Lytechinus pictus: one gene and its partners. The protein of the gene in region 3 purifies or fractionates together with the protein of the main gene of each other region. This does not show direct contact. Links are inferred from orthologs where the notes say so. Each region holds a gene or a part of one and is shown on either strand. Other genes may lie near its edges.

What was found.
Region 1: the proteins of SERPINE1 mRNA-binding protein 1-like (region 3) and la-related protein 7-like purify together in Homo sapiens (affinity purification with mass spectrometry; 3 studies listed by BioGRID). This does not show direct contact. The link is inferred for Lytechinus pictus from reciprocal best matches to the Homo sapiens genes SERBP1 and LARP7.
Region 2: the proteins of SERPINE1 mRNA-binding protein 1-like (region 3) and transitional endoplasmic reticulum ATPase-like purify together in Homo sapiens (affinity purification with mass spectrometry; 3 studies listed by BioGRID). This does not show direct contact. The link is inferred for Lytechinus pictus from reciprocal best matches to the Homo sapiens genes SERBP1 and VCP.

What each region holds. Positions count from the first base shown.
Region 1 is NC_087262.1:10,072,672-10,081,431, reverse strand, and holds the start of la-related protein 7-like, read right to left. Parts: upstream 5,662-8,760; 5' UTR 5,531-5,661; intron 3,452-5,530; 5' UTR 3,451-3,451; coding exon 3,261-3,450; intron 2,323-3,260; coding exon 2,138-2,322; intron 1-2,137. UniProt on the Homo sapiens protein: RNA-binding protein that specifically binds distinct small nuclear RNA (snRNAs) and regulates their processing and function.
Region 2 is NC_087255.1:27,478,670-27,482,269, forward strand, and holds the start of transitional endoplasmic reticulum ATPase-like, read right to left. Parts: upstream 2,676-3,600; 5' UTR 2,525-2,675; coding exon 2,508-2,524; intron 1-2,507. UniProt on the Homo sapiens protein: Necessary for the fragmentation of Golgi stacks during mitosis and for their reassembly after mitosis. Involved in the formation of the transitional endoplasmic reticulum (tER).
Region 3 is NC_087255.1:23,541,617-23,550,376, forward strand, and holds the start of SERPINE1 mRNA-binding protein 1-like, read right to left. Parts: upstream 5,121-8,760; 5' UTR 4,039-5,120; coding exon 3,831-4,038; intron 1-3,830. Other genes in the region: zinc finger protein 367-like, read left to right, coding at 5,121-5,493, 7,048-7,167, 8,034-8,178. UniProt on the Homo sapiens protein: Ribosome-binding protein that promotes ribosome hibernation, a process during which ribosomes are stabilized in an inactive state and preserved from proteasomal degradation.

The DNA of each region.
Region 1 (8,760 bases), on a different chromosome or scaffold from region 3:
CATGATACATTGGATTTTCAAAGTTATTGGTAACACTCACTCACCATGGCAATAAAGACCCCCTCCCCCACCACCTAAATGATAGGCATCTTTGCTTTACCTTCTAATATTGCTTCTTTGTGCCAACTGTTCTCACAAGGACATCTCTGCTATGTCCACAAAAACTCTTGTTACCATGGCATTGATGTCTCCACCCACACCAAAATCGATAGGCGGCTTTGCTTTATAATAATGGACCGTCATGCCACATTTGAAGATGATCGGAGAAGAAATGCAGCTCATAGAGCGCTAACAAAGACATATCTCTGCAATTCCACAAATACTCTTGTTACCATGGCAATGATATCTCTGCCCACACCAAAATCAATAGGCAGCTTTGCTTTATCATAATGGACCTTCATGCCACATTTGAAGATGATCGGAAAAGAAATGCAGCTGGTAGAGCGCTCACATGGACATCTCTGCTATTTCCAAAAAAACCTGTTACCATGGCAACGATGTCTCTGCCCACACCAAAATCAATAGGCGGCTTTGCTTTACAATAATGGACCGTCATGCCACATTTGAAGATGATCGGAAAAGAAATGCAGCTGGTAGAGCGCTCACATGGACATCTCTGCTATTTCCAAAAAAACCTGTTACCATGGCAACGATGTCTCTGCCCACACCAAAATCAATAGGCGGCTTTGCTTTATAATAATGGACCTTCATGCCACATTTGAAGATGATCGGAGAAGAAATGCAGCTGGTAGAGCGCTCACATGGACATCTCTGCTATTTCCACAAAAACCTGTTACCATGGCAACGATGTCTCCGCCCACACCAAAATCGATAGGCGGCTTTGCTTTACCATAATGGACCTTCATGCCACATTTGAAGATGATAGGAGAAGAAATGCAGCTGGTAGAGTGCTCACATGGACATCTCTGCTATTTCCACAAAAACCTGTTACCATGGCAATGATGTCTCCGCCCACACCAAAATCAATAGGCGGCTTCGCTATACCATACTCGACCTTGATGCCAAATAATCGGAGAAGAAATTAAGCTGATAGAGCGCTCACAAGATATCTCTGCGGCGGCGGACGTGGCTTGAGAGGCCAAATCCATCCTTCGAACTCTGTTCGGGGATACAATTATACATGTATGGGGCAGAAAAAAGTTAAAGGGCAACACCTTTTACACTCGACATCCATGCAATATTTTTTTCTAAACTGTTCGCTGACAAGATCTGAACAACTTGGTTTAAACGGGGTAAAGAAACATCTATTCATACATCATAATCAAGTAATGCCCCATCTCTACCCCAACAGGGCAACATCAGAGGACAAATCAGTCACAGAGCACTAGCAATGATTAGGATCATACTTTAATCCAGAGGTGCTGTTCACTTCACGAGTACCCATGCTCCCCTCCCCAATCCCTACGAAAACTGGAAAAAACATACCCTGATAGCAGAGTTAAAACTCACCACATATACGGTGCAGTCACCAGGATCATACTTGGGCGACTCCAGTGGGAGCCCAAGTAGCCCTCCCCAAGCCTGGTTTATTCCCAATTCGTCTAATGCCAATTCGTCCAATTGCCAAATCGTCTACTACCATTTGGTCTATCATCAGATCGTCTACTCACCACATGGTCTACTTTCATTTAGTCTAATGCCATTCCGTCTAATAACCAGTTGGTCCAATAACCATTTAATCCATATACCACTGGTCTAATTAAACTTAAGTGATAATTGTGCAAATTAATGAAAAGAAAATGGGTATTAATTTTAGACCAACTGGTTGTTAGACCAAATGGCAATAGACGAACTGGTGATTAAACGAAGTGATGATTGGACCAAATGGTTATTGGACCGAATGGTTGTTAGACGAAATGTTGATGGACGGAATGGCATTAGACTAAATGAAGGTAGACCATGTGGTGATGGACGAGTTGGCAGTGGACGAATTGGCAATTTACCCCCAGCCCTCTATAACAGAGTGAAAATTCATCCCATATGCAGTGCATTCATCAGGACTGTACTTTGGTGGCCCCAGATGTGCTGTCTGCTTCACAAAAAGTGTTTAGTCCCCCCCCCCCCTCCCCTTACCACTACAAAACATGGAAAATACCCTAACAGAGTGAACACTTACTACATATACAGTGCAGTCATCGGGATCGTACTTGGGCGGCTCCAGAGGTGCTGTCCGCTTTACAAAGAGCTGATCATCACTGAGCTTGAGGATTTTTGAAAGCTGAATGGCAGAGACAACCTCCTTCCTATCTTCAGTCATGGATAACATCTTGTTGAAATTGGCTATGGTCTCCACGCTAACATCTAAAGATTGAAGAGAAAAGTGAAAAACAACTTTGAAATGATAATCATCTATTCTGTCACCTACAGTTGGGCTTAAAAGGTAATAAACCCACCACAAAATGCACTCCTCCATGCTGAGTGTTGAATGTAGATAACACTATGATGTTCAACGAGCCCAGATAAACAATCTTTAATGAATGCAATATTTTAACACCTGGTTTCACAATTAAATGGCAGAACTTGAACACTTTAAATATGTTCTGGGGCCCGTAACACAAAGCTTAGCAATGATCGTAGAACATTTTTCTACGATTGATTGCATTGACTACAATGTACAATCAATCGTGAAAATCAAGTGTACGATTAATCGCTAACCTTTGTGTTACGGGACCCAGGTGGGGTTCACTAACTTTTGAGCACCACTGTGTAACCGGGGAAGTAGTCAATGCTGGTGCTTCCGAGTCATGAGGTCGCTGTGCACAGAGAACCTTTTCCCATAGACTTTGAACATGTGACTCGGGGCGAGTGCCGGTCTTGACTACATCCCAGCCTATAACCCAATACATTGCAGTGGATTTAATGACAAATTCCTGTTTGCCCTAAAACATTTATGATGTGACGGAGAGGAAAGGAAATTGTGCTTTACAGGATAAATTTTACAATTCTACATTAAATCCAAATAAAAAACCTGCATTTTTATTCTTTGAGAATAAAAAGATACAATCTTTATTTGAAAAAATGCTCAAGCTTTTTTTTTTAAAGAAAAATAAAAACACAGCGAGAGAGGGCATCAGATATCTGAGAAAGGAATGCTTGAAATTCCAGAGAGAATCAATGGTTGAAAAAAAATCAATGGCTAAGTACACTTCTGTAAGATTGACATGTCAAATGGACGACAATGGTCAGTTGTAACCCTAACCAAACGTTTGAGCCAGCTTTAAAACTGACCACAGACTTACATCCATCTTTATTTTTAGACATTTCTTGCTTCAGGAATCGATCTTTCCTCAAATTGGCATCGCTGAAGTAAAACTCGATCTGCTGACTGACATCAAGTATGATTTTCTTATGGCGCTTTCTCCTCCGCTTCTCCATCGAGGCATCTCCAAGCGACGAGTTGTCTTTTGCTTCTGCTTTATCTGCTTTCATCCTGCAGATATGGTACAGATGAAGAAAAAAAATTAGAACTTAAAGCCCAAACTAACAGAGAGGTAACATGTTCAACTGCCATCAAATATCTAGGAATAGTGTTAGGGCGACATTTTATTGGAGCTGTTTTTGGTTCTTATTTTCACAAATATTTAAAACAATCATCTTTCTATCAGAGGGCATGGGTTTGAATCCCAGCCATGGCGTGTTTTCCTTCAGCAAGAAATTTACCTACATTGTGCTGCACTCAACCCAGGTGAGGTGAGGCACCAGGCAGGTTTATGCCCTTGAAAGCAGAGTGCTGCAAGGTACATGTAGCTCGGGCTAAAGCTGGGGTAATAATTTATAATAATAATAGTGCACCTCGAAATGGATTATTTCTAGATAGATGGCGCTATACAAATGCCTATTATTATTGGTAGTAAAACACTAAAACTAGTAATAATGTATCGCCCGGGTAATTTGTCAATTATTCATCAGGAATGATGATGATCCAGAGTGAGACTCAAAGAGTCAGACAGCCAGGCCCATATTCCAAACCTGGGTTTAACTAAAGTCTGAGCTAAATTTTTGTTGTATTCAGACGTGAAAGCAGGACATTAAATGAACACGCTGCATATCTTTAAAAAGAAACTAATTAAGTACCGAGTGTGAACTGAATTATTTCTTTCTTTAGACTTGAAAAAAAAAAACGAATTGTGCCTAGTAAGCATAGCGTGCAGGATATGATTAATGTGAGCGAGAGCATTTTTATAAGCAGAATTTATTTTGGCATGTGACCCAACAGGATTGCTAAATATGCCAAACCCCTCCTCTCACTTTCTTTACCACTCTTCCTCCTTTCAATTTTTCTTCCTAATTCTTTTATCGATTCCTTCCTTTTCTTGTCTCTCCCACTTTTTGGTTTTCTTTTTTCTTCTCCTTTTCTTTTTTTTTTCTCCTGTCTTTTGTGCCACCAATTATGTGTAGGCCTCTTGGGTCAGAGCTCTTATCTCTTTCTATTTCCCTTCATTTATTAGGCATAAATATATATATATTTTTTTTTTTTTGGGGGGGGAATGGGGAAGTATATAAAGGAAGCAAAGGTTGTTAGGCTCATATTCCACGTCCTGGACGATTTTTAATGATTGTGCAAACCCTTTGCATCTATCTAGACCCGCACGCACACATTTACCAACACACATGACACACTCCAACGATTCACGTACCACCAGTGATTCACCTAACCCACTGATTCACTTTCCGCGAAAAAATGTGACTATTCAGGGCGTGTGTATGTGTGTTATGGGATTGGTAGTGTGTTATGTGTTTGGTAGTTGCATACATACAAAATATAAAACATTCCAGGAGGTGGACTATTAGGCTCATAGATTCGTATTTTTTCAATGTTTTTTTTTTTAGGGGGAGGGGAAGGACCGAGGCTCCCTCCCCTGGCTCCACTTCAGCTTCAATCCCTGGCTAATTATGGCCAAACAAAAGGACCAGTCCAGTAGCGTACGTCAGCCCCCCCCCCCCCCCCCATTTGGTATTTTTAAACCCAAAACTCCCCTGAAAGAAATCAATTTTTTGCTTGTCAATTTTTTTGGGGGTAAAAATTTCCTACCCAAAAAAAATTGACAAGCCAAACTTCCCAAAGACAAAGTCTTGAAAAAAAATGTTATTTTACTGTGGCTATATTTAAAGGAAACGACCTAAAATTTTGGGGTCGTCAACATTTCATTCGGCTTGAACCCCCCCTTTCAAAAATCCTGCATACGCTACTGGGCGAGTCATTATTTCCGCTATCATGAAATTTGTCACCAGTCCCCGACGTTCATTTTCAGATTCACTGCTTCAGCCTTCGGCTTCACTTCAGATCACTGACTTCATTATCATTAGTGCATGCTACTGACAGCTTTCCATAATTCCATTCCCATAGACTTTGTACAGAAACGAACGCTGAACGATTAGCCAGCGCCAGCTCAGCAGGCCAAGCAAGGCGACAATAAGTTCAAAACAAATGTAAATAGTGTCCGACTTTCCATCACCCACACGACAAGATTACCGTATGGAAGTTTCTTACCTAAATGATTGTACTTACTTTTAGAATACAGCAACAAAATACACGTAGTATATGTCTAGGAGCTAGTATTTAGATGAAATTTGAGACAAACGCCGTGTTCACGCAAGATTTTCTTTTACAGCTTTTAAGTATGGAACGCTATTTATTACGTTCGTAAACGTAACACCACTTCGTTACTTTGTTGGGAGTTTGAAATTTATCCCGAATTTATCATACACGAGGCCGAGGGGGTGTTGTTTTCTTGAGCTTGCAATGATGGGGCCCCCATGGGGGGCAAGCACGGCGAAATCATTTCTTTATGGGGGGGGGCAAACCTCCCAGGAGGCCCATCGATTGGGTCCTTTGGGGGAAGTGACCAAGTGACAGGTTACTATAAATAGGAAAGACCGGGGACATGCAGAATAATCAACTTTACTAAATACTTGCTTCAACTTGAATAAAATGAAATATGCATATCTAATTGGCTTGGCATATATCTTATATGGATAAATTTGGGTTAACTAATCTAGAAGCTAGCTGTTATCCGGGACTGTTATATCATTTCTCAATTCACAATTGCCCCACACGGCCGGGGTATAGGCCTTATAGTAACATCTAAATCATTTCTGTCAAATGATTTTGTTACCAAATCGTTACTGTCGGTTTATTTTGTAACAAAATCATTGCAGTCGTTTGATTTTGTATCAAAATCCGGGGGGGGGGGCACTTCCACTTAACAATTAAGTATTGGAAACAAAACGATACTCTTGGCAAGTATTCCCTGAATTGGATCCCTAAACAAGTACCGCAGCGATAGTTCTGTTTTATACCTAATTTACCTGACATCGTTGGGTTTAATTAGTTCAGCACCACCTGCCACATACCCACTAGCGTACCTATGGGGGGGGGCAGGGGGGGCACTCTGCCCCCCCCCCCCCCTGACGAGTCAAAACCCATGCAAAAACGTATCTTTGCCCTGACGGGCTTGTATAACCTTTTTTGCCCCCCCCCCTGACGAGCTTTAAGACCTTCAATGCCCCCCTGACGAGCTTGAAGACCTTTTTTTTTTTTTTTTTTTTTTTTTTTTTGCTTGTCAATATTTTTCTGGTACGAAATCCTTTATTTGTGATCGAAGACCCTTTTTTTTTTTTTTTCAAATTTTTTGGCGGACGGTTTTGCCCCCCCCCTGTGGAAAATCCTAGGTACGCCACTGCACGTACCTCCCCCACATCTCGCGCAAATCATACTCTAAACAAGTAGAGTTGACCCTTGGGGCATTATAAAACATTTTAGTCTTCATTTTTGTACCCTCGCAAATTTGACCCTAACACGTGCGTAGCTTTCCTATAGCGAAAATAGATAACCTAATTTTAGTGTTTTTGACACCCTTAATACGTTACGTCCGTAACGTGCCCTATCTTGAAAAAGACATCCTTTTTACGTGTTTTTTTGGTCGCGCATGGTATCCACTCGTGAATAAGTGCCCCCCCGGGCCCCCCGGGACCAAAACGATTTGGAGAGTGTTTTTGTTACAAAATCATGCATTTATTTTAACAGAATAGGCCTACTAATTTACACTTGTATATCCCACATGATGTGCACCTCTTAATATTACTCGCCATGAATTGCCTCGTCACACACACAAAAAAAGTAAAAATTTGCCGGGAAAATTAGCTTCTGAAAAAAAAAGAACTACTACTGCCCAGTAAGATTTGGTGTGCCCCCACTGAAAAAAATTGGCAGAGCAAGAAAAAGGGAGAAAGAAGAAAAGAAAAAGAAGGGGGAAGAAAGAAGAAGAGGGAAGAAAGAAGAAGAGGAAAATAAGAGGAGGAAGACGAGTGAATAAAATAATGGGAAGACAAAAGAAAAAAAAAATTCATGTTGCTTCGCGCTCGGATTGCCTTTTCGATGAGAATCATGTCTTGCTAAAAAGGGTGATATGGAGTCCCAGGACCAAAATCCAATTGAAACCAGTTGGATTTCCAACTGGTTTCAATTGGTTTCAATTGGTTTTAACTGGTTTCAATTGGTTTTAACTAGAATTTAACAATTTCCAGTTGAAACCAATTGAAACCAGTTGGGCAACTGGAAATCCTAACTGGAACCAGTTGGGTAACTGGAAATGATTTTTAACTGGAACCAGTTGAGTAACTGGAAATCCCAACTGGAACCAGTTGGGCAACTGGAAATCCTAACTGGAACCAGTTGGGTAACTGGAAATCCTAACTGGAACCAGTTGGGTAACTGGAAATGACTTCCAACTGGAAATGATTTCTAACTGGAACCAGTTGGGTAACTGGAAATCCTAACTTGAACCATGCAGTTGTTTAACTGGAAATCCTAACTGGTACCAATTGGGTAACTGGAGATGACTTCTAACAGGAAAGATGGGTAACTGGAAATGAATTCTAATTGGAACCAGTTGGGTAACTGGAAATGATTTCCAATTGGAAACCAATTGGAAATCATTTCCAGTTACCCAACTGGATCCAATTGAAACCAGTTAATTTGCATATTATCTGCCAGTGTGCACAGATTAATGTTTTATGAGATTCATCATCATTAACAATGTATCTATTTAATTCTTTTCAATTTCAAGTACCACATTTTTTAAAGATAAGTATTTAAAATACTTAGCAGTGAAAACCATGTTCATAAATGTCATAGATTATAATTAAAACAGATTAAAGGATAATTAGTACACCACTAACTGTTACCAAATTACATCAAATAAAAATACATATATTTGAAGATCTTCCATATAAATATATACATATATGAAAGTCTGTATTTTATCAATGCCCTTTACATTGGTATTAATAGACATATAACACTGCTTCTGTGTTGGCATGAGCAATAGTTAGTGCAAATGCTAATTCATTTGTAACTAATTAAGTTCATTCCAACTGGAAGTTCCTATTGGATCCAGTTGGAAACCAATTGGTTTCAACTGGTTCCAGTTGCCTCCAACTGGTTTCAACTGGAACCAATTGAAACCAGTTGCCTTCAATTGGTTTTAATAGGGAAATTGGAACAACTGGAACCAATTGACACCAATTGCCAACTGGTTCCAGTTGCCCAATTGGTTTTAACTGGAACCAATTGGCAACTGGTTTTCAATTGGAACCAATTGGTTTTAACTGGAACCAATTGGCAACTGGTTTTCAATTGGAACCAGTTGTTCCAATTCCCCTATTGAAACCAGTTGGCCAACTGGTTTCAATTGGTTTTGCCCTAATTGGTTTTAACTGGATTTTGGTCCTGGGAGT
Region 2 (3,600 bases), about 3.9 Mb from region 3:
AACAAAAAAGGGGGAAAAAAAAGGAAAGTAAGAGAAAGAAGGAATGAAAGAAAAATGAAGAGAAAGGATCAGGAAAGAAAGCTATGAAAGATTGGAAATATAATAGATGGAACAAAAAAAGCCAGGTAAATTAGTAGGAATGATAGAAAGATGAAGAAAGGATAGAAAAAAAAGATGAAAGAACAAAAGAAAGAAAGAAAGAAAGAAAGGGAAAAGGTTCAAACTACAAGCAAAAAAAAAAAATCCAATCAAATAAAAATCTTAATGATATTTGGTTTTTTTTAAATATATTTTAAAGATTTCGAAAAACTATAATATTTTAGAAATGAATAAGTCTCAAAGTGAAACATTGTCAAACTTAAAAATTAGATGAACTATTGCACCATCACACACAGGCATCTCTCATCCCATTTTGCATCGATCACAACTGGACTAAAAAATAGATCTAGTTATGAAAACTCATTAACTTGCTCCTCCGCGCGGTTTGCGTGCTGTCGCCACGCAAAAGACAGTGAAATCAAGATGGCGACGTAAACACGGTGGCAAGTTTTTCCCGTCTTTTCATAATATTTTTTTGAATTAATTCTTGTTTAAAAATGAAATCGATATCGTAGAAATGTCGGAAATGAAGTTGTATCCCATGTACATGATTAAGGGCTAGATCTTTTGGAAGGAAAGTAGAAATCTCGGGGGCGAAAGTTTCAGGGTTTTTTTGCGGTACACGCAGATGAATGGGAAGAAATTCCTGGCTCCGTTGAGAGTAAGCATACGTTAGTAAATGATTTTTACTCTCTAGGAGCCTCCTGGCTAGTCATGACCACGTAACACATCGGTCACATTTGCTCTACAGCGGCCGTACGGCGAGTCGAATACGGCCGTTTTATTAATTTTATTTCAAACCACCTATATGTAGCTGGTACAAAAAAAATTTAAAACGGCTGTTTTCGACTCGCCGTACGGCCGCCGTAGAGCAAATGTGACCGAGGTACTAGATGACGTAGATCTACATTCAGTTACCAGATAGGCCTAACGTTATAGTGAGACCATCACCACCTCTTTTGAAACCGACCACCTTGCGCGCATTAAAATCATTGCACATTACAAACGATGCACGCGGGAGAGTAGGCGCAGTGTCCATAGGAACAGTAAAAATCGATTTTACGAGAGAAAACGAAAGGGGGTAGAAATTTAGTAGAATTTATCAAAATTGTTTTGACTAGACCCGAACCCCGCTGAAAAACAGTTGTTCATACCAAGAAATCCGATAGGAAACGGCTTTAGAACAAATCCGTCGTCAATCTTCGAATCATGTGCCAGAGCTCGCAGTGGAAGTACCAGTACGGTAGTGAGAGGATCATTTTTGACATTACTGATTTGGAAGAGTCCAAATATTTCGCCGCGCCGCCGCGACAAGAATCGGCCGTAAACTTGAACGGTTAGTGTATCCCGGGTGGTCGGTTTTAAAAGAAGGGTGCAAATGAGCAAATGTAAAATCGTCGTATTATTACTTAGTTTTTTGCCGATATACCATATATGATGGGGGGACCTAAAGCTACGCACTTTGTTTTCAAACAACAAAAAATATCCCAATTTTAATATTTCAACAAATTATCTTTCACTAATTTGTGGCAAACATTATAAAGATCATTAACCAAGAAGAAAATATCGCTAAACTCACTAACACGAAAATCCCGCCGTGTTTTCCGAACACCTCTTGATTTCGCCGCCCGATGTAGAAGGGGTCCTAAAGCTACGCACTCGATTTATCATGCAAAAAAAAAGTATTTCCTGTGCCTCAATTTCTAAAATATATTCACATTATTATAGGATAAAATGAAATTAAAGCGAATATAACTCCAAAAATCCAAATAGTTGTTTGTTTTCTCTGCATTTAGAGATTTACTGCAACCTCTGTAGAAAAAAATTGATTAGGAATCGTTCGTCACTCTGCAGTCACAGTTCCACACACAGAGTGCGCATTTGCCATAAAAAACTGCATGCGCTATGAGTGGTGCGTAGCTTTAGGACCCGCGCAGCTTTAGGACCCCCGACCATACGCGAATTGAATCGGATCGTCAATCGAAAGACGAAACATGGGAATCTGATCTCCTAAATTTTCTGCACAATTGAGACGAAAACTAGGTAAAAACTGAGAAATATTTTCGCTGATACGATGCTTAGAAAATTAGGTGGTCGATAATTAAGGGGTAGTTCCAACCAGTGAACCACACACACACGCACTTTGGTTGGCTGGCGCTGCACTGGCCTGTACTGTAGAGTGTAGTCTGTAGTGTACGTGGGTAGCTGTAAAAAGCTCGCCGCGCCGGTCACTCACATCATCTCATACACGCACAATGACTTCGTGAAATTGAAAATGTGTGTGATGACCGAATATGAACAAAGCCAGATCCGAGTAATAAATTCTCTTCATTCATGAGAGCAGCAAAATACATCACACGTGATTTCGATACATAAAGTTAAACAAAATAAAGATATGAAATTCTTACTGAGAATTTTCAGCCATATTTCTGATGATTTAAACAAGAAAACAGCAAGTGCATTCGTCTTCACAGTGAAATCGCAAACTTGCTGCATATGAAATAATTAGTTTATCTTCAAGACTCACGGACCAAACTAATACACGTGTATATATACCGAGAGCAATCAAGCGGAACATTTATAGTGATTTAGAGATAAATGCACTACAAATAATCAGTCATATAAAATTAGATGATTACACGATCATGTAAAAATTAATATAGATAAATTTTATATAATAAATTCAAAATTACATACAAAACAATATGATTCGATACGTTTTTATTTTCAAATACAATAGTTATTACAGAGTGGGGAAAGAAAACAAAAAACCAAGCCGAACCAGCTTTGTCATATTAAACGATTGCACAATACCATTCTTGCGCTGTAAAATAAATATTGACAAATATTTCTGTATATCGTATTTCTAGAGGAAAATATGGATAGATCGATAAGAATGGTGACGGTTTTATAGAGATAGGGTGCTCTTATTTTGGTTTCTACTTTAAAAAAAAGTCTACTCTTGCTAGCAGACTATGCTTGAATTTCTAGAAATAAAGATTGCGTCATTCCTATGAGACCACGGAAATAATTTTTCCGTGTATGAGACATAGAGATGTATACTAGTATACATCTCTATGGTATGAGACTAACTGGTATGAAAAGAAGACAAAAAGTAAAGGTACGGGTGGGAGGGGGAGAAAAGGGGAAAGGAAAAAAATAAAGGAGAAATGAAAAAGCTTTTAAAAACAGTATTTTTTTTAATCTTATAAATTTGTTGTTGTTTTTTTTAAAGATCTGGCAATTATGGTTGCCATTAGGTAAGCCAAAAGTCGGAGGTACGTGGCGGAGGCCAGCAGGGATCCTATGCCTGAAAAAAAAAGCATGAAAAGAGAAAACGGAAGGAAAGCGGGAAAAGGAAGGAAAGAAGAACATGTATTGTAAGAAAGAAACAATCATCCCGAAATACTATGCATTAGCATGATTGATAAGAAAGGGAAATAAATTAAAAGATAAAGAAAATCGGGAAATGAACTTTAGCTAATTTGGAAAATGAAGAAA
Region 3 (8,760 bases):
AACAGAAGCGTGCCCCCCCCCCCCCTTTAGAAAGTGAAGACCAAATCCCCTTAATTATTTTTGGTTGAAACCCTTAAAAAAAATCCTGGATCCGCCCCTGAAACAAATGAAAATACTTATAATTCATATTAAAAACGAAATAATTGGATACGAATTATAAACTTTAACAGAAAGCTATTAAGTATGAAAGTTATATTAATTTTATCCGAAATTGAAAAACATTCAATTTATAAAGAGAAGTTTGGGACCCCGTCTAATGAATTATTAATTATTTGGAAGCCTCGGAACAATTAATCTTGGGATTTCACGGACCGAGGGGCTATGTCCTTATACCTCGGTCACATTATTTTGCTCTACGGCGGCCATACGGCGAGTCGAAAACAGTCGTTTTAATATTGTTTTTGTACCAGCTTCATATTGGTGGTTTATCCATGTATAAAAATGAATAAAAATGCTGTTTTCGACTCGCCGTGCGGCAAATGTGACCGAGGTACGAGTCTGTCATAGACATGAAAAACAATGGTTGACAGAACCAAAACACGCATTCAGAAAATTAAATCACAATTTCAAAAGATGTAGAAAGTATGGGGTAAATTTATTGATCAATATGTGAATAAATCTGGCTTTAAGTAACTTCGTTGGACTTTATATCAATCCTTTCCAGTTTTCCATTAAAAGATGTTCTTTAAATGTTGACGTCCTTAGTATAGTAGTCACATTTGCTCTACGGCGGTCGTACGGCGAGTCGAAAACGGCCGTTTTATTCATTTTTATTCAAACCATGTATATGTACACTGGTACAAAATAATGTTAAACTGCTGTTTTCGACTTGCCGTACGGCCGCCGTAGGGGAAATGTGACTGGGGTATTATAGTGACATATAAAAATAATAAAGTTGATGCAGTTGCAAATTGTTAAATCTTTATTAAAAGAAATCATGATATAGGGGTTGGCTTACTCTTTACAGTTTGGCTTTAATTTATTTTTGATGATTTTCATTATACTTTTCATGAACAGTGTTTTACATGTATTCCGTGAAAGTGAATGTCATTCCAGAATTCCATGTTTTTTGTATAATTCATACTGAACTGGAAACTCTTATTGAAGGCAAATTTAATGCATAAGAATTTATTGAGCATATATATATATATATATATATATAATTTATATTTATATGTTAAGAATAATTCAAACAATGCTGTTTACTGTGTGAATCCCATAGTAGTTTAAACAGTTTAAACAAGTGTTCAAAATCTTAAACAACCATGCTTTATTTATTGATGATTAAATATTAGAGTTTAAACTTTGTTGTTTATAAAGTTCTTAAACACTTGTTTAAAATGTTTAAACTACTATGCAATTCACATATTAAACATTGTTTGAATTATTTTCAACAGTGAAACAACATAATACATAAATTAATTACAAATAAATCACAAGAACATTATGACCATATATACATAATAGCATTTTTACAGTGCATCATTGTTGACAGAATGGTTTTCGATCCTTCTCAGCATCATATTCATAATTTGTAAAGATTATTCACTTCTTCAATTTTAAGTAAAAATAAAGTTGAAAGATTATCTCATATAAAAATAAAATTGTTTTTATATCCGAATATCGTCGTCTTGATTTAGTGATCCCCAAATCCTTCACCTTCTTGAGCAGTTGTAAAATGCGATGTGAACTTGTAGCTCTCGACCTTTGTCCTTTGGGTCTTGTGAAATACAGTCTTTCAATCAGTGTCAGTCATCTTCGGATTATGCTGTAGATTATACAATGAAAATAGACCATAGTTTGAACTTTTGAGTTTGATTTATTGCTGTCATAATTGGTAATTCAAAGATAAAAAAAATTGATAAGAAAAAGAACAGGGCAGGAAAATATTTGATTTTTGCAAAAAAAAAATACTGAAGGAAACAAAATCAAAATCAATCTCCATCCATATCAATTTGGTACACATCCGCACTTCAGTGATTATAATTTGCATTATTTTTCAATTTAATTTCCTGTATTTCTGTAGGGTCTATAATTATTGATATTATCATAGAGCTATAGCTCTATGATATTATCATGTCTCAACAATTCCATTGATTGTCCCTGGCTTTACCGAAAAAAAAAAATCAGTGTCCAGTTTTAAAAGTAAAATCAGTATCACGAAAGTCCCAACAAATAAAATGCCCAAACTTATATTCCTAAAATACTACGAGTATGATATTCGCCATTCCATTAATACAAGCAGAGCTTCAATTTCAGAGCCATACACAACAACAGGTGCAGCTGCCATTCATTACATACACGCCCCAAGGCCGCATGGCCGAGCTCACACACATTCCACAGCCATTCACGAACCATGCACGAACAACCGAGCGAAGCCCGATCACAACACAACGTACGCCATGCTTTATATACACCATTGCGGACTAAGCACAAACACCACCGCAAAACAGTTCACAAAATAAACCTCGGTGTAGACGGTTTTCCGTATGTCGCTCTGTACCAATACATGTCGCTCACATACACTTTGCACACATTGACACACAGTAAACAACGAACACAGTCGTGCGATTTTCACTTCTCGACGGTAAATATCTTCAAAAATATGACTTACCAAATGACGAGAAGTCCGCAAAATATCATCAGATTTTCCGAGGTAATGTAGCTACACCGTATGAAGAAAATGAGATTTTCAACTCGAAATCTTGAAGGAAATACGTCGTGTTTAGTATGAGGTTGATCGGTGGTTCGCAGAGAAACTTCTCGCACTACATAGGTTTTGTATTATGGGAAAATATGCAAATGAGAGCCAAAACACCCAATGAGATCACAGCTCAAGATTTGTGAATGAAACATGACGTCACGCACTACGCTGGCGATCGAACGAGCGTATCGCGCATGCGCGGGTTTCCTGTACAATTCTTCTTTGTGGTCTGTTGCCGTGGTTATCCACGCTATTTTATTCATGAGTCCACTCTTCAAACAGTGGACTCATGAATAAAATAGCGTATCTAACCATGGTAACAGGCGTCAATTTGGCACACTGTGACAAAAGCGCGCATCAGCATTGGACATTTTTTAAACACACGCCTGATACGTGCGAAATTAAGCGTAATTTAAATCTGCATGAACCATGGATTCAACCATTGGTTTTCAAAACCACCTTTGTGAATTCGGGCCTATATTTTGATGAAATAAAGACAAAAACCGATGAGCCCCGTCGGGGGATTTTGCATTAACCCCTAATGGCGCTGCACGATCGCGAGCTGTCCGTGTACGAGGAGGAATACATGTAAAAACAAACTCCTTGAAACAAATGGCTGCCAGCTGTAGTCCCTGCTGCCTGGGCCTGGTCAAATTAGCTGAACCGACAGTCGGACTGAAGTTGGCATCCATTTTTCTTTTCCATGTGGAATTGGAAATTAAATTCATTCATAAAAATCATGGCTTCATGCCCCTCATTTATTACCAAACAAATTTTTTTAATTTCAAAATCAACCCTTACTTAACAGTACTTCTTTCCACAATACCCTGGAGTCTAAAGTTAGACCTTTATATTCAATTGCTAAATAGTAAACGCAATGTCAATGTCAATGACTGCAATATCCCGTAGTCCGTACATCACGTGCGGCATGAACATGTATGAAAAGCATGCCGGGTTAGGGTGGTGGTGCACGGAGCATGGAGAAAATTTATTTTTAGGCCCCACGAACATAATTTTACAAGATGTTTTAAAACCTACATATTGAATGGGGGAGGTAACAAAATACTACCTTAGACACATCATAAATCATACATTTCATTTCTAAGAAAAAAGGAAGCTTTCATACCTTCTTTCCTCGATTTTTGCTCAGGTTCTGGGGCCTTTTTGGCTGGTTCTGGTTTCTTCGCAGGCTTTGGCTGTTTGGGTTTGCTGCTTTTCTCCTTCTTCTCCTTCATTCGTTGTTCCTTTTCAGCAAAGATATCCTGTGGATCGGACACCGTATCCATGTCCAAAAGGAAACGGTTACTTACTCCTATAGTGTAAGTAACCTCCATTGTGATAAAATCCTTCGTTCTATGAAGGATTAGAAAGATATTTAACGCTATAAAATGCGTTCTCTCAATGAAACCCCCGTCATTAAAAATGGCGATAAAACTGTACACAAAGTGAATAGGAAGCACGCGCGGAAAAATAGCTATGCAATGTTTACATCGAACGAGAGCGAGGGCTCGGCGGCAGGCATGCTGCGCTGGAAGGATCCGTACTTCGAGCTTCCAGCCTGCGCTAGATTACGTACGTCATGCATATATGGTACGAGTTAGTACAGTAGCATATCATGCATGTTCGCGCGCTCTCGCTCTCTTGGACAAAACATTTAAAAGGGGTTCAAATCCCGGGGTTCAAATACGTTTATCTGATTCAGATCCCTTCTGATAATAATGAGGTATAAACCTGAGGTGAAAGAAAATCCTCATTAAGTTGTAAAAAAATCATACATTAAATATACATGTCCAAAATATGAATAATTCATTTCTAGCGACCATTATATACACCGAAATACCCCCCTTTACTTTTAGATTCGCCCGGTTTTATGAAAATCGGGAATCATAATCATATCAAGCGAGACTGCAAGAAAAATGTCCTGCAAATTTAAACTTTTTATCATTTTCGTCTAAGATAAGATCAATATCTTACACAGTAATCAAGGTAAATAATCCAGGCAAAAACAAATATTGCTTGTAGTACCGACAAGACAGCTGATAACACCAATTACCATATATGGAAGTTCAGGTTTTGTCTAAATCTTACTTTATCAGGGATCGACTTAAAAAGCTGACAAAAATATGCTTTTTTACAACATGAGATGAACGAAAAAAACTATATAAGTTTTTCATTATATGAAAAATGAGTGAATAATTCAATTCTTTCAATGTATAAAAAGAGAAAAGGGGGAGCAAACGAGTTATCTCTTTGCAAACAAAATTAAGTTGTTAGTTTGAGGCTATCCTTTAAAGAGCCCGCTTGAAAAAAACTCCCATAACACCTTGCACCGGAGCATTTTGTAGCGCCAAATTCGAGATCGGTTTGTTGTAAACGCGCGAGATCAAGAAGAGAACGGGACGACAGACAGCTGAAAATGGCTAACGTTTTGAAGAATTCGCCGTATAAGATCATGCCTAACACTGAAATTCGATCACCAGTTCGACCACCAAAATTATCGTTGACGCCTTTAAGTCCTGTGAGTCCTGGAATCTGCTACTTTTATCCCTGGAAATGGTCGGAGAGTGCAGGGAACGTCGAGCTCAGCCCATCTGCCAGCAGCAGTTCTTGCGGTGGCTCCCCGCCCGTCGAACGAGGGTCAAGTAGGGGGAGACCGAGGGCAGAGACGGTGGCAGAGTTGCAGAAGGCAGGGAGCAGTGAAATCCGTCGAGATGTCATTCAGTGTATTATTTGCGATCGGATCTTTCCCCGAGAAAAGTCATTAACAGCACACCTTCGAACGCATACAGGTAATTAATTGAAAGAGAGTGTCAAAGAATCATCATAAATGATAGGGCTCGCTTTGGTTTGGCTAAATTATAATAAAAATTTGGACATCAGATTCAGATGTCAATTTTGTCATCAGTTCTCATTTTCTCAGTCAGACATTTATTACTTGTATTTACAGTTAGAGAATAACGTAGTGTAGGCTATGCTAAACATTTTGATTTGTGTGAAAGATCATGTATTTTTTTGGGTGAAAACTGCTGAGCTGACCTAGTTACATAGTCATAATTATAAGTTAACCTTTTTTTTCTTATGAAATTATATGATAATGGAGGAAGAAAACAAGAAAGAAAGAGACAAGATTTATCTCTTTGAAAAGAAGTCTATTCGTGAGCTATATCATGACATGACTAAGTTCAAGTTTAGGCCGTCAGTATAAAAAAAATAAGACCTTGTCCTTGACGAAAGACGAAAGTCTATTTTGCTAACTGGGGCAGGGGCTAGCCTTGAGGACTTCGTGATGATATTTTTAAATATTTTGACATATACTTCTTCATCACGAAGCCTTGAAACCCCTTCCATAGGCATATAAGAGGACATGTAAACAAAGATGGATTTCCCTAGAAAATCCATCTTTGAAAATTGAAGATAGAAATAACGTAAATTTGTATCATTTTATTTATCTATACACCTTCATACGCCTAATCATATGCGTATGAAGGTGCAAAAATATGTTAATAAAAAGGTTAAAAACGAGAGGTTACATACCAGACCGATCTCGTGTAGATCCCTCGATCCATTTGTAAACAACGCAAATATAATAGGCTTAAGGCTTGACCCTTGAACCGCTTCGTCATTATGTACCTTCGATAAGCGATGTTACAAAATGTTGTTTTGAAGAACAATTTATAGATAAAAATTATTATTTAAAGGTCAAGTCCACCCCAGAAAAATGTTGATTTTAATCAATGGAGAAAAATCAAACAAGAATAACGTTGAAAATTTCATCAAAATCGGATGTAAAGTAAGAAAGTTATGACATTTTAAAGTTACATGTATGCTTATTTTTCACAAAACAGTTATATGCACAACTCGGCAACACACAAATGAGAGAGTCGATGATGTCCCTCACTCACTATTTCTTTTGTTTGAATTATACAATATTTCCATTTTTACAGATTTGACAATAATGACCAGCTTTACTGAACCATAAAATGTTAGAACAATTGTAATTCCCCATGTATACATGGAGGAAGAAAACTTGTTTCACCTTCCAATGAGGAGAAAATTAAAATATTTTATATATCATATAATAGAATACAAAAGAAATAGTGAGTGACGTCATCAGTCCCCTCATTTGCATACCAACCAGGATGTGCCTATAACTGTTTTGTGAAATTTACCAAAACTTTAAAATGTCATAACTTTCCTATTTTACATCTGATTTTGATGAAATTTTCAGTGTTATGCTTCTTGGATTGTTCTCTACTTGTTCAAATCAACTTTTTGTTGGGGTGGACTTGTCCTTTAACAAATTTTAACTTACACATTCTTTGTTTTTATCTTCTGGAAAACAGGAGAACGTCCATATAAGTGTGACTATCCAAACTGCAACCGAGCTTTTGTTCAGAGCGGTCAGTTGAAGACCCATCAGAGATTACATACAGGAGAGAAACCTTTCGCTTGCTCAGTTCCAGGTTAGTCTTGCTTGACCCAGTGGGTGTTCCTTAAAGCTGTTCATAAGTCAAGAGCAACTTTAAGAACGACTGGTGATCCTTTCTTGTGGTAAATAGTATACACCAAAATGTTCACTGGCGATGGTTTAGTGCGTAAGATAGGTTCACCAGTCGTTCTTAAAGTTGCTCTTATTTTACAAACGGCTTTATTAAACACCCCCCAGTATTGCCACAGAGAAAAGTTAGAATTAGCCAAGAGCTGCCCGGAAATATGTAGTTAAAATGAAGAAAAAATCCTCGATCCATGTTTGATCCATTCAGGTTTCTTGAATTCCTAGAAAAGCAAAAAAAAAAGGAGGTACTTACCAGCAGGATTGATTCAAATTCCAAATTATACTGAATCTAACTTTTTCAGATTGGATTTGGTTATATTCCAGTTTGTAACATCTTCAAAATGGGGATTTGTATGACTTAAGCAAGGAAAGAAGATTTGTAAATTAATAATGATGGAAAAATAGAACATTATTCCATCAAATAATGTATTTTTTTGTGCTTCTACTTATTTCTCCACAAGTTTTGCAATAATACTTAATTGCAAAATATCTCCACTGGTATACAAGTTTCTAACATTTGAATATAAGAGGTTTTGATGTACATACACATGTGTACTGTAATTCAAATATATTTTTTAAAAGGGATGAATTTAAATTGCTGAAGTAGCAAAATTTGTTTATGAAAAACTAAAAGGTGCAGTATGCCTAAAACTGAAAATTTCAGACAAAATGTAATTCATTTTAAAAAGAAAATAATTGAGGTTTAGCGTACCCAATATTTAGAATCCTGGACATAATTGCTAAGTGCCTTTAAATGTTTTTTGTTGTTGCCAGGTTGTCAATCCAGATTCACACATGCAAACAGACATTGTCCGGAGCATCCATATGCCGGCCTTCGTCGAGAGACAACCCAAGTACAGGTGGAAGAAGTCGTCAGGACCGATGAGAACAGTGAAGAAGTTGCCGAATGGTTACAGAGGTAAGTTAGAGAAGAGAACTTTAACGTCTCTAAAAAGCTGTTGCTCAGGGTCACTCCGTAACACTTTCATTGGCAACAGTAGCCTTGTGGTTTATCTCTTTATCTGAAATGATTAGCAAAAAAAAAAAAAAAAAAACCCTTGGTCAATTTGTATTTGTTGACTCCTTCCACCACTTAGCAATTCTGTCTGACACTTCAAGTAATATGAAGTCAGTCTATTAAACAGGGGCATACACTTCTCCCAGGCCAAATTAAAAAACTAGATTTTGCTGTGCAATGTCATTCTAAGGCCATGGTTGCAGATGTCCTTTTGATTAACCTCAAAGGTCAAGATCCCCTAATTGGCCAGAGATTTTTGTTGCCATTCAAATCTCTTTAATTTGTGCTATGACATTGGAGCATTCCCTTCAGAAAGTCTGGTCTTGCCCTGAGGACACTTTAGATTTAAGGCCTGTAATGGGAGAAATACGTAGTTGTACTTCATGAAAGTAGATCCTGTGATATTATTTCTGCAAGCAGAGTGGTTTTCCACCAATAGAAAATAACAGGTGCCCACACCTAACATCAGCACTATTGGTCATT